3 linked regions of the Neurospora crassa OR74A genome follow. The protein of the gene in region 2 purifies or fractionates together with the protein of the main gene of each other region. This does not show direct contact. Links are inferred from orthologs where the notes say so. Each region holds a gene or a part of one and is shown on either strand. Other genes may lie near its edges.

Region 1 (4,449 bases), on a different chromosome or scaffold from region 2:
AAAAAAAAGCGAGGAAAACGTGAGAGAGGAGGAAGGAAAAAAAGAGCCAAAAAGGAATGAAAAATAGAGAAGACTCTCCTCGCGCTGTTGGCAATGGGTGCAAAAGAAAAACAATATGCGCCAGCCGCGAATCGAACGCGGGGCCCATCGATGGCAACGATGGATTTTACCACTAAACCACTGGCGCCTCAATTGTAGATGACATATTGATACAGAAACTATGTTCATGAGCCACAATGCGACATGAGCAGTATCTTCAGCACTGTTAGACTAGGATATCTTTTCCATTACTCAACCCCTTTCGTCTTATTTGATGCCCAGTTCATGTCTATTTTCCATCAAAGCAGCAAAAGTCAACGCCAATGCGTCCATTGTATGTTCTCAATGTGTTTCGCCGAGGTCGGTCCAGAATGAAAGTTTCGCCGCAGATGAAGCTCCAAACCCTGTGTTGCCTTTTGTTGAAGGACCTGATCCCTCAGCTCCGTGCCTTGTGATCAGAGTTGATGGTGACATTATTAAGCCATGCGTATCCTCAGTCCACGTCCATCGAATCCTATTCGGGAGGTGGAGGCGGTGGCGGGCGTTGTTCGTTCAGCCTGACAGCAGCAAAACGCTTAGCAAGTGGTTCATCCGTCGAGTTGTGATTCCTTTGCATCAATGGGTGGTGGCTGAGGTAGGATCTGTCAACCGAGGGAAAACTAGCATCCTCAGTTCTGGGGCGCTTGGGAAGTCTCTCACCAGTGGATTCCAAGATCATGTGCAGGGTCCTCCACCCCTCTGTCGCCCGGAGTTGGAAGGCGTCGGCAAGGTCATGTTGTGTTGCTACGCGGCAAAGGAGTGCCTCCTCATCCTACGAGAAAGAGTCAGTATTCTGTCGGACCCAAGTGGAAATACGGTGAGCTGACCTTGGACAGCACGCTCATCTGCCGGATAAAGCAGAGCAAGTGGAAGTTGCTAACGTCGAATTGGTCGGACTTTTGGTTCACCTTAAGAATCTTTGCTACTGATGAGGCTTCCTGGGCTTCTCCGACAAATTCGCGATTGGCGATAGGGAAGCCGTCATTCGTGAATACCGGCCGGGGACTTTCAGGGAAACCATGGGTCAAGGTGACGAAGAGATACTCGACGGGAAATGCGGGCTTTGCATTCTCTTGGACATTTGCTCCGTACTCGTTGATCTTGCGATAGAACACCTCGGGGATGTATCGCGTCCTGCTGACTGAGCCATCGTCCTCCTCCTCTTCGCGCACCAACATTTGACCGGGGTCCGTGGAAGGTTCGATGATGTCTGCCCTGACCATCTCGACCGCATCGTTCGACATCTGATAGGCCGAGATCGAAATCTCGCCCTGCTCATTGCCAGAGATGACGCAAGTGACAAAGTTGGAGCCGAACCGGCCTGTATCGCTCCACTTGGTAGGCTTTGGGTGCTGTGCCTGGAGCCTCGCCGCAAAGCAGATCTCCTGAGCCGCGAGGAAGTAGGAATCGCTGTGTCTCTTGCAGATGGCACTTCCGTCACCCTTGCCAGCGTCCAGGAGATCCGTCCAGATCACACCCACAGGCTCCAGTCCGCATAGTCTTGCTACTTCGTTGACATCCTTCTCGTTTTCCCACGCGTTGAGAGTAACACCGTCGATCTCGTCAACCTGCGGTGGTTCGTAGATGGCTTCCACGACAGCCTTGACGCCAAGCGGAACAACATCGTATTCGAGATATTTGCCGTAGAGGATACCAAGCCGTTGACATCCCGTCATACGCCAGGGATTGAGGAACTTGTCGATGATCTGGGGCGTCGCGAACTCGACGTGGTCCACCATTCTGAATGGCTGGGGCTGGAGAGTGATGGCGCTGGGCTGGCATTTTGTGCAGATACCTTCGGGCCATTGAGGATGGCCGGATGGACAGTCCCGCTTGACTCTGTAATAGGGTTCGACAAGCGGGGGGATAAACGAAGCCCCAAGCTCGGGCTTGTTTGTCGCAGAGTTGATTTTGCGGAGGTATGCGTGTACTGACATGTACTTGATTTTCTTTTCCTCGAGATACTTTGCGTTAAACGGATCAAGGGGCATGCAGTAATCGCACATACCCTTGGGCCCGTGGCGACACATCTTATGATCGCGCCCCCTTGGGATCTTTCCGTCACGCTTGTCTAGCCGATCGTCCAGAGGCGACTGCCTCACCGTTTCCCACGGGTTCTTGATATGTTCATGCGGAGATGTCAGCGGAGGCGGGTCGATGGGCAAGTCTTCTGCAGGTAGGATCGGTTTGCCGTTGAGGCGGTTCGTGGATGAAAGCACGCTGGATTTGGTGGCTTCGCCGTTGCCTGGGCCGTCGGTCGCCGCATCGTTGTGCTTGTAGGTGACAAAAATAAGATCGCCATGGCTATTTTCAGGTCGCTAGTTAGTGTCTGGCACATAAATCGCAAGATCAGCGCGAGAGTTCCAAGGGGTCAGCTTGCCTGAGCCCAGTCTGGCCGACCTTGAACTTTGCGACCTCGCTGAGATTCTTGGCGTCGCTGCCGGTCGGATGGTTCGAGAATGTAATTGTTTTCGGGTCAACAGTCGGGGGAAGCTTGGGAATGAGTTGACGGCCAAGATCCGCAAAGGTGTCATCTTTCTCCAATGTCAGGCGGAGCATGCCATCGGGACCGCGTACCCTCAACAACATCGTGGGCGGGCTGAAAAAAAGGTGACGTCTGGGCTGTTAAAGGGTCCGACGGATCTGGTCTGTTCCTGTCGTTCGGCGAGTATAATCCGGAATCTGAATTTAAAATGTGTCGTAGGCGTCGGAAGTAGGGCGGTATCTATGAATAAAGCTTCTTGTTGCGCAAAATCTACAAGGTCACGCCAGGTCCTCGGACTCGGGGTAAAGGCACAACTGGTGACGGGATACGGGTGGTGAATTGTTGGTCGGCAGACGGGACCTGATCGAAGGGCGGGGAGCTCCACGCAACGCTGTACGATAGTTTCAGGCGTTCGTCATACGTGTGCCTGGGCGGCGGGAGTGCTGGGGCGTGCTGGGAAGTGCTGAGCAATCGAGGCATGCCTGCTGGGTTTCCAGAAGAGCCAAGAAACTCCCGGTCCCACGTCAGAGAGAGAGCCCAATGCCGGCCCGGCAATGCCCCGCACCCCTCAAAGACTTGGGAGTGACAGAAAGGGGCTGTCGCGGCAGGCATCGATTTCCACTTGCGGCATGGGCCCCTGCCACTCAGATGAAGCCAGCGCGCGCCAAGGGCCGAAATTCCATTGTCAAGCTCCCCCTGCCGCGCTGCACCGTTGCAGTTGTCAAGGTGTTCTTTCCAGGCATGGGCACTGCATTTGATAACCAAGGGAAGCACGATTACATTGCCGTCGGTGTCCATCACTCACACAACCGCAAAAGGCAAACGCATCCATCACCGGGCAACCTTCAGTTGCACGACGACAATCCTCACGCCACCTACCGCCTCTTGGTTCACTCTAGTCGCTCGCTTTCTTCCAGAGTAGAGAATACAGACATCATTTCTCGTCCGTCAATTTGACACACACTCCATCCCGAAACATGTTCAGCGTCGACTGGCGGGGGCTTGTGCTCCCCTTCGCCTATCTGATTGTCCTGACGGGCACCTTCATGACCTTTTCCACAATCTACCGCAAGAGGAAAGCCCGTATGCAACCCCCTACTCAGAAATTTCTATGCTTCTCTGGATAGAAGCCTAACCATGTTGATTCTTCCAGAGCAAAGCGCAAACCTCGCACCATGGTTCGGTCCTCACCTCCAACGCAACGTCTACCTGTCACTCCTCCACATGGAGCCCGAGAACGGATCCGAAAAGGCACCTAAAGTTCCTGAAAGTGTGCTCCGGGCGGCTCTGCTGCGCCGCGCTGTCGAAGACATCCACCGTATTATCCAGATCCGCGCCGCCAAGGCCGCCTGCAGCTCTCTTTTGCAGCGTGGAAGCATCGGCGATGATCTGTGGCAAAGGTTCCAGCGTGCCGAGAAGGAAATGGAGGAAGAGCTTCGTGATGTTGTTATGGAGGTGTGTGTTCCTTTGAAGAGGGTTACCCGTGCGGATGATTGGATGCCAGAAATGCTAATGCCCGATTCTTCAGGCCAACGCACTCGCTCCCAACTGGGGACAGAGCATCTTCCAAACCGCCAACGAGATTGCTGCCAACACTGTGCTGCGCGAGCGCCTTGACGAGATCCAGGCTCAGGCAACACAAGAAAAGGAGTGGTGGGAGAAGCGCAGGGCCACCGTTAGAAGCGAGTTCATGAAGGAACTGGAAGGGGATGAGGCTGGTACTGGTACCCCTGTGGACACCAGCTCAGTCACCTCATCGCCGTCGAACAAGAAGGGCAAGAACTAGAGGTCACGTCCTAGCGAGCGGTGCATGAGAGTGACGTGAGCATCTCGCATAGAGATCTCCGGGGTGGCTGTACAATAAGAAGAGAGGTATGGGAGGGCAG
Region 2 (4,317 bases):
CATAATGGTCTGAAGGAGAAGAACGGGTATGCATAGGTTTTGTATGTTGGCGTTTGGGATGGATCGGGAAAGCACTTGGAGGTTGTCTTATTGCAACGTCGGGCCTTGGTCTAAAGCTTAGATAGCCTATAGACCAAAGAATATAGGAGACGAATCAAACCTCTGTGTTGGAATTTGGCACGCTTGAAAGAGCTAATAGCAACTGAAAGAACGGCTACATGGTCTAGGTCTGTTTCCCATGGTGTTTTGGACAAGACGGCTTTCAAAGTATCTAGAATGCTTTGACTTTGTTGGCTCCCCGTAATCTTCTTACCTATTCATGTAGATGAGTTGAACAATGACAGCTGCATTCCGCATTTACGGCGAAGGAAAGTCACTGTCACATCCAGCGTTATACTAGTGATTCTAGGGTCCTTCCATGAAAAACGCCAACGAAGAATTAGTTATCATCTTCTTGTCATTCAGCCCGTTTCTGCTTCATTAGGTTGCGAGGTTACCTCTACATAGAAGTACCCCTTATGGTAGACTACATATGTAGTACAATGGTGCTGGTTTGTTTGTTAGCTTGGTACCTAGAGGTACTCCTGGTACACTGGACGAGATCTCCCGTCTTCCGAATTGTCCCAAACCGTACAAGGACTGAATGAAAGGCATGAACAAGATCCAATTCGTTCTCTTTCATTTTGGAGAAATGGAAGCATATTCCCAGTCTGAAAACGCATAGTCTAAGAGGTAGCTATAGGGACGGGAAGTTGATCCAAAGACCCGCGGGAGCTAACAATCGAACCAGTATTGCCTACAGTGCAGTAAATCATGTCCCGCCAAAAGCACTAAATGTAAGTAACGTCCCGAAATACCCCGCCAACCTGTGAACTCCAGGAGCTCCATGCAGTAGGCTTGTTCGGGGCAGGCAGGCTCCACGTCACATTCACAGATGTCAACGTAATCTTGTCAGCGCAAAAGGTGCATGGGAATTGCTACTTCCTCCTGATCACTATCCGAGGGCTTTCCGCTAGAGTATGCTAGAGTCATTCCTTATTACTACCTAACTTTGGCACCCGCACTATCACATACTACTGTGGTTAGCTCAAGAGCGAAGTACCAACCTTGAGCACCCGCAGCCGAAGACAACCTCCAGCTTCGGACAGTCACCTCCATCCTCCTTCTCCTCATCCTTCGCCTCAACCTCCCAACGCACATCCAGCTTTACGTCGTCACCGCCAGCTTGAGCCCTTCTTCTCCTTAGGCTCTCTCCGTCACGATAATCACAATATCCGTACATCCTTAATCCCTTTCCTCTTCGCCCAACGACGACGACAAGATGGATCCGAATCAGCAACAGCCGGCGGCCACGCCGGATGCGCCTGATAAAGAGACGATGGAGCAGATCCGTGCCCGACGACTGGCTAAGCTCGGTGGCCCCAATGTCGCTTCTACTACATCGCCAGCTGCGTCCTCTTCCACGCCTCAGCCTGGCACCGAAACCCCTCCCGCTGCTGCTGCTGTGGCGGCGGCGGCGGCGGCGGCGAGTTCGTCAAAGATCGAAGACAAGGCACCGCGAGTTCAGCCAAGGTCGATAATCAAGCCGGCGTCACGAGATGTGCCAGAGCCACCACCAGGTAGTTCCGCTTCCCGAAAGAGAGAAAGATCCCTTTCAAATATTGATGATATTCCATGCCCACCAGCACCGCGAAAGCAATACAGGGAACAGACGCTCGAGGAATGGACCGACAAGCTACTCACCAGCATCCTTCGCGTGTCTCTCGATCCGAACCAGACCTTCGATAGCAGTGGCCATAACTTGACCTTTCTGCCAGAACTCAGCCAGGAAATTCGGGGCGAGTATCAGGAGCCCTTGCTGTCGATCGACCGATTTCAAGAGGCCGTTATGGAGGCCGGAAGGATCTATCCGCCGCACAAGCCCCTATTCGAATACTTCCTGGCATGCTGGAAGCGGGTCACCAGATATAGGATATTGAGGGCGTCGACTCCTGAGAAGGAAGAAGCCCTCAAGGAGGCCAAGCGCTTGTGCTTCTCGAACTGCATCTTCGCCGTTACTATGCCCGAGATGTTTGGGTATTTATCCCCCGTGTCCTCTTTACAGTTTGCTCTAGCTGACATGATCCAAATTTGAAAAGTCGAGAACCAAACCCAAAGCACGATACCATAGTCCCCTACATTTTGGAAGGTGTTGCGAAGGAAGAAGGCCTCGACATCGAGTTTTACAACGAGGCCATGACACGGATCGAGGACGACGATAGCATTGTACCTCTCTTCACCAAGGCCATGGTGGAAATCAGCACAGCGCTGTCTACCAAAAACATGAACGGCGATTATCAGCCGCACGTCCAGGTGAGTTTGACAAGCGACTTGAACGAATTGTGCTGAGCGTTGACGTTGGAACCTCACAGGCCCTCTTCACATACTCGAGATATCCGGCTCTCGTGAACGCTTTGGCGGAACACCCTACTTTCCTTATGGCGCAATCAGCCCCCAACATTGAACGGTTCACGCTGCTCGGGCCATTCTTCCGCCTGTCGCCCTTACACCCAGAGGCGGCCAGTTACGACTTTGCCGCACCAAGGACTCTTGACAAGGGCCGAATTGGCACAACCCAACAATCGTTACAAATGACGTTGGCTGCCCATCAGGAACACTTGACGACGATAGCTAATGCCTTCATACGAGCAAGCACTAGCTCGAGAAACAAGCTCCTGGACTGGTTCGCCTACATCATGAATGTCAACCATAAGCGCACAGCCACTTATGTCGACCCCAAGACCGTTTCGTCGGACGGCTTCATGGTCAATGTCACTGTCGTCCTCGACAATCTATGCAAGCCTTTCATGGATAACTCCTTTACCAAGATTGACCGTATTCAGGTCGACTACTTCAGGCGGAAGCCCAGATTGGACATCAAGGAAGAGACCAAGCTCAACGCTGACCAAGAGCACTCGGACGCGTTTTACTCTACAAAACTCGAAGGGGAGAACAACTTTATAACAGAGGTCTTCTTCCTCGCTTTGGCGGCACATCAGTATGGCACCGAAGCCACCCAAAACAAGCTAAAGGAACTTGACAAGCAAATTAAGCATTTCCAAAAGAACTTGACCCTTATGGAGGCTGACCGTCCCAACATTGTCGCCAATCATCCGGAACGAGTACCTATGCTAGAGGCGGCGCAGAGGAGACTGATCAAGATGCTGGAGAGCGCCATGTCGGCCAAATTTGCCATCGAAGGCATTATGACCGACAAGACGCTGCAAACGCGGTCACTACAGTTCATGAAGTACACGATTGTGTGGCTACTGCGAGTAGCCAGTCAGTCCGACTACGTCCCATGGAAGAAAATCAGCCTTCCGCTGCCTGAAACTCAGCCAGAAGCTTTCAGGTGTCTTCCCGAGTATGTTCTGCAGGTAATTGTTGATAACTTGAAGTTCACCTTCCGCCATAGGCCAGAGGTCATGGTCTCGGCCATTGGTGACGAGGTCGTTGCTCTATGCATAACGTTTCTGGAATCCTCCGAGTACATCAAGAACCCGTACTTGAAATCGTCGCTGGTTACCCTCCTTTATCAGGGCACCTGGCCGGCATACCATCTTAAAAAGGGCATTCTTGGCGACATCCTTACCGGCACCAAGTTCGCGAATGACTACCTGCTACATGCTGTGATGAAGTACTATATTGAGTGCGAGTCGAATGGTACCAGTTCCGCGTTCTACGAAAAGTTCAACATACGTTTTGAGATCTTCCAGGTTATCAAGTGCGTCTGGACCAATGACCATTACAAGAAGCAGTTGACAGAGTCCAGCAGGTCAGTATATGTTTTGTCCTACGATCTCTTTGCTGAATCCGACTAACTCGACCTAGGGTGGACCGCGACTTCTTCGTTCGTTTTGTCAATCTTCTCATGAACGATGCAACATACGTTCTGGATGAAGCATTGAGCAACTTCCCCAAGATCCATGACTTCCAGCAAAAGCTAAAGGACCCCAGTCTTTCGCAAGAGGATCGCGAAAAGATGGAGAGCGATTTACACGACGCGGAAAACAAGGCCAGTTCCTATATGCAGCTTGCGAACGAGACAGTCGGCATGATGAAGCTCTTCACCCAAACCCTGGCTGAGTCCTTCACCATGCCAGAAATCGTTCACCGCCTGGCCGGTATGCTCGATTTCAACCTTGACCTCCTCACCGGTCCTAAGAGCCGGACGTTGAAGGTTGAGAACCCCGACAAGTATGGCTTCAACCCCAAGATTCTGCTACCGCAGCTCGTGGACATCTACCTGAACTTGGGTTCCTCGCCTGCCTTTGTCGA
Region 3 (4,391 bases), on a different chromosome or scaffold from region 2:
GTCTGATAATCCCAATGTATTGCCCCTTCAAGCCATGTAAAATAAAAAAAACGATACTCATACCAAAAAAAAACAAAAAAAAGAAGAAAAAAAGGAAAAAAAAAAAAAGAAAGAAAGGTTCAGAAAAAACTCACAGTAACTCCCAGATTCCCCCAAGTCATGGCATTCCACCCGCTCACATCCATCGTCCCCTCCCATCGCAGGGCCTCCGCCGTGATCATCATGTGCCCCAGATCCGCTACCCACAAAGCAATCAGGTAGTTTTTGACGACTCTGATCTCGGAAGAAGAGTACAGCACGCCTACCCCGACAAGAAAGGCGAGGAAATACATGTTACCTAGTTGGCGGGTGGTGGTGCGGCTGGCGGTGGGATAGGCGATTAGAGGTGAAGAGGAGGAGAGTTGTTCGTGGGTGAACCAATCGGGGGAGAGGATGGCGGGGAGAAAGCCGGATAGTCTGCGTGGGGAGGTGTTAGTGTTTCTATCTGAGAGTGAAATGTGATGAGAAGGAGCGAAGTATGCATACAGTGAGAGAGGTTCGAATTTGGTAAAGACAAAGCGTGGGAAAGGGGGTAGTTGGGAGGCCATTTTGTTTATTTTAGGGAAGGGGGGAATGTGTACGGGTGACGGTGAGTGAGGATGAATAAACAATGCAACAAGCTACACAGGGCCACGCGAGGTAATGCTTTCTGGAAGTGAAGAAAATGTAAGATGAGAGAGGTGTCGTGATGTAGTCCGACGCTTAATGTCTATTCTCGTGGTGTCAATGTTTCGCGGACAACAAAACTATCCGTCGCCTCGTCCCCTTGCTGTTGTCCATCAGGGTCCTCCTCTTTTTGATTGTTGTTCAGGGTAGGCAGCATCCAAGCGAGAAGACGAGTGGAACAACTGCACTTGGCATTTCTTGGATCCAGTCGCTCTAGATTGTATTCTTCCTTTTTGGAACCGGAACCTACCATATTATTTGATCCGCTCTTGTACGTTCTTCACTTGCATCGCGCTGAAACAGGCGTCGTATGCATTGCACATATCGAAGTCCGTTTACCATGCGGCATCAATTTACCGGTAGTGCGTTGAAAAATGCTCGAGACTGAGACGCAGCGTCCGATGAATCTCAAGGAGACAAGAATTAGGTCGACAAGCCGGTCAGGGTTAGGGCTCAGCCGGACAACAAATGAAAGGTACCTCGCGGCTCGCAGTACATATACTTGTGTCGACCCCGTTGGGCAACGCCTTGAAAAAATTTCTCTTCTTTTCCAAATATTTTCGGATTTTCATGAGAGAGCCCACAAAGAGCAAGACAGTTACAAACAGTATCGCTTTGGTTACTGGAGCTTGTGGCGGTGCGCTAGGGTCAAACTGTGACTTCGATCGGATCGGTAGAGGTACGTCACCCGAGATGACTCTTATCGGCCAACGATGTCTAGCGCGATAAAGAATGCCCCACTGATGCTTGCCAGGGAACTTCACAGTTGACGTCTCATAGCTTTCAAGCCCGTCACGGCCAACATCAACATCAACATTAGCATCGAACGGTGACCCGACAATTTGCAAACAAGGTTTATAACAGAGAGGCGCCCCATTCTCAACCACTCGCCGTTACAAAAACTTTTTGCTTCCACTCATCACCAGAAGCAGCCATCGTTCCCTCTCCCAGACGCCAGTAACGCTCACCTTTCCTCATCACATTCGACAATATGGCCAGCAAACAGGAAGACCTCCAGCGGAGGCCCGTCTATCTATACGACATCGACGCCGACATCCTGAACACGGTCGCCCTCAAGTCAGATGCGGACATTACAGCCGAGCCAGTCAACGAAACCGCCAAGCAGACAATCGATACCACAGCATCTGAGCCCACCGCATCGGGGTCGCAAGCCAGCTGTTCACTATGCAGCCTCAAGTTCGACAACGTCCAGGAACAACGAAGTCACTTGAAGACCGATTTTCACCATTACAACCTGAAACAGAAACTCAACGGTCTTTCCCCAGTAACCGAGGCCAAGTTTGAGGAGCTCGTCAACAATCTCGACGAAAGCATTTCAGGTTCCGACTCTTCAGACAGCGAGGATGAAGAAGAGGGGCAGGACAAGGATACGAATATGTTATCTGCCCTCCTGAAGAAGCAGGCCAACATTGTAGAAAAGATGACAAAGGAGGGTGGCGATGATGGTGAGAATGACGGGGAAAAAGTGAAGTCGTCAAACGGGTCGCAACCATTGCTCTGGTTCAGCTCCCCGAAGTTACCCGAGAACTCTTATTATGGCGTCTACAAAGCCATGTTCACCCCAGAAGAGCTGAAGAAGGAGGACGCTATTATGGATGCTATCAAGTCCAGGCAACTGGCACCCATCACCATGGGCAAACCGCCAAAGGACGCCAACGATATCCCACCAAATTACACTGGCAAGCACATCTTCATGTGCATGATTGGCGGTGGACACTTTGCCGCTATGGTTGTCTCGCTAAACCCACGGAAGACGAAGCATGGAACAACCGGACCCCTCAACAAGGAAGCCGTCGTCCTAGTGCACAAGACCTTCCACAGATACACCACTCGTCGCAAGCAGGGTGGTTCGCAATCCGCCAACGACAACGCCAAAGGCGCCGCCCACTCAGCCGGTGCTAACCTTCGTCGGTACAACGAGCAGGCTCTCGTCGAGGATGTTCGCGGGCTGTTGGCCGAATGGAAGGGACTTATCGACACATCCGATCTGCTCTTCATCCGCGCCACCGGCTTAACCAACAGGAGGACATTGTTCGGCCCTTACGACGGACAGGTCCTGCGGGCGAACGACCCCCGCATTCGTGGTTTCCCATTTATGACCCGGAGAGCTACCCAGAACGAGCTGATGCGCGCCTTCATCGAGCTTACCAGGCTGAAAGTACGACAGATCGTCCCCGAGGCAGCCGCTCCGACTACCGAGTCACCGAAGAGACCGAAGAGCCCTAAGCCGGCTGCGGCTTCGAAACCAAAACTTTCAGAAGAAGAGGAGACGCTCCTTTTGCACACCCAACAGATCCAGGCCCTGGTCAAGCGCTCAAAGGTGCCCGCCCTTCTATCCTACCTCAGCACAAACGACATCTCCCTCAAGGAATTCCGCTTTTTCCCAGCAGACCACCACACTCCAACGCCGCTTCACCTGGCCGCATCCCAAAACTCGGCGCCGCTTGTGACCGGTCTCCTCACCCGCGCCGGCGCGGACCCTACCATCCCTAACGGCGACGGTAGGACTGCCTTCGAGCTTGCTGGCGACCGCGCCACCCGCGACGCTTTCCGCGTTGCCCGCTCGGAGCTTGGTGAGGAAGCATGGGATTGGGAAGCCGCCGGGGTCCCCGTCGCGCTATCGCGGGACGAGGCATTGAAGAGGACGGAGAGGGAAAAGAATGAAGCGAAAGAGAAGGAGGATCAGAGAAGGAAGGCTGAGGAGGAGAGGCTGAAAAAGGAGGGACCAAAGGTTGATGCGACGAAGAATGGGAAGAAGGCTGGTGGCAGTGTGTTGGCGGCTGCGATGAAGCTGACGCCGCAGGAACGAAGGGAAGAGGAGGCGAAGGGGTTGACGCCAGAAATGAAGATGAGGCTGGAGAGGGAGAGGAGAGCGAGGGCGGCGGAGGAGAGGATTAGGCGGCTGCAAGGTGGGCAGTAAGTCTAACGTGTGAAGCTGGTGCTAGAGGGGGTGGGTAAGATGAGGGAAAATGTCATGGACACTTTACGATTGCATCTAGGGTATACCAATGTCAAAGCGTTGCCAACGTATGACTCAGTTTGAGGTGAATGGAATTGACTCCCTCTGCCCATCATTATCGGCAACCTTTGGTCAACCAATGAATAATTGATCATGAGCAATTAATTGGGCATGATTCATGGAACAGGTGAGCAAGCCATGCTATTTTAGGGCGATTTCGGCTTATATATAAGATGGGTCCCCAGCCTAAACGTATCTCAGGGTAAGAAGTAGGGCATTGGGGATGGTCTCAATCATCATTGAAGCAAAAAATGAACATCATGTCTATATTTCGCCCTTACAAGACTACTCCTACAACGACAAGCATGAAACTAAAAACAATGCGAAATCTTCCTGGTCTTAAACTATCTGGTGTAAGCTAAACATTGCCTTCATAGTTTATTTTCTTCGAAATATTGCGAGCGAACAACACATCAACAGATCGAAGATTACCTATTTTCATTTAACCGAACGTCTGCTCTGTTAGTATTCGACTTGTGTCGCTAATATTTCGAGAAGAGTCCCTTAAGTCTGGATAGATGACGGGAAGATATACTCCTATCAAGGTTCCGATCATCAGGTATAGCCATATTTTACAAAGCGTTGAGTGTCAGTTCTCGCCGTTCTTGGGTTCGCTCTTGTTTTTGCGAATTTACTTCATTGAAGC

The links.
Region 1: the proteins of NCU03357 (region 2) and NCU02680 purify together in Saccharomyces cerevisiae (affinity purification with mass spectrometry; 3 studies listed by BioGRID, with this or other methods). This does not show direct contact. The link is inferred for Neurospora crassa OR74A from reciprocal best matches to the Saccharomyces cerevisiae genes UFD2 and NPL4.
Region 3: the proteins of NCU03357 (region 2) and NCU02147 purify together in Saccharomyces cerevisiae (affinity purification with western blotting; 3 studies listed by BioGRID, with this or other methods). This does not show direct contact. The link is inferred for Neurospora crassa OR74A from reciprocal best matches to the Saccharomyces cerevisiae genes UFD2 and VMS1.

Annotation. Positions count from the first base shown.
Region 1 is NC_026501.1:3,179,337-3,183,785, forward strand, and holds NCU02680 (nuclear protein localization protein 4), read right to left. Parts: upstream 3,012-4,449; 5' UTR 2,668-3,011; coding exon 2,459-2,667; intron 2,383-2,458; coding exon 906-2,382; intron 851-905; coding exon 739-850; intron 669-738; coding exon 655-668; 3' UTR 597-654; coding exon of another isoform or gene 592-596; 3' UTR 89-591; downstream 1-88. Other genes in the region: NCU02681 (translocation protein), read left to right, coding at 3,541-3,646, 3,717-4,018, 4,092-4,349. UniProt on the Saccharomyces cerevisiae protein: Substrate-recruiting cofactor of the CDC48-NPL4-UFD1 segregase. Assists CDC48 in the dislocation of misfolded, polyubiquitinated ERAD substrates that are subsequently delivered to the proteasome for degradation.
Region 2 is NC_026502.1:987,769-992,085, reverse strand, and holds the start of NCU03357 (ubiquitin conjugation factor E4), read left to right. Parts: upstream 1-1,321; coding exon 1,322-2,076; intron 2,077-2,138; coding exon 2,139-2,352; intron 2,353-2,411; coding exon 2,412-3,814; intron 3,815-3,870; coding exon 3,871-4,317. UniProt on the Saccharomyces cerevisiae protein: E4 ubiquitin chain-elongation enzyme specifically involved in polyubiquitin chain assembly.
Region 3 is NC_026501.1:1,082,592-1,086,982, forward strand, and holds NCU02147 (ankyrin repeat and zinc finger domain-containing protein 1), read left to right. Parts: upstream 1-1,486; 5' UTR 1,487-1,696; coding exon 1,697-3,646; 3' UTR 3,647-3,827; downstream 3,828-4,391. Other genes in the region: NCU16330 (hypothetical protein), read right to left, coding at 135-456, 526-587. UniProt on the Saccharomyces cerevisiae protein: Endonuclease that cleaves polypeptidyl-tRNAs downstream of the ribosome-associated quality control (RQC) pathway to release incompletely synthesized polypeptides for degradation.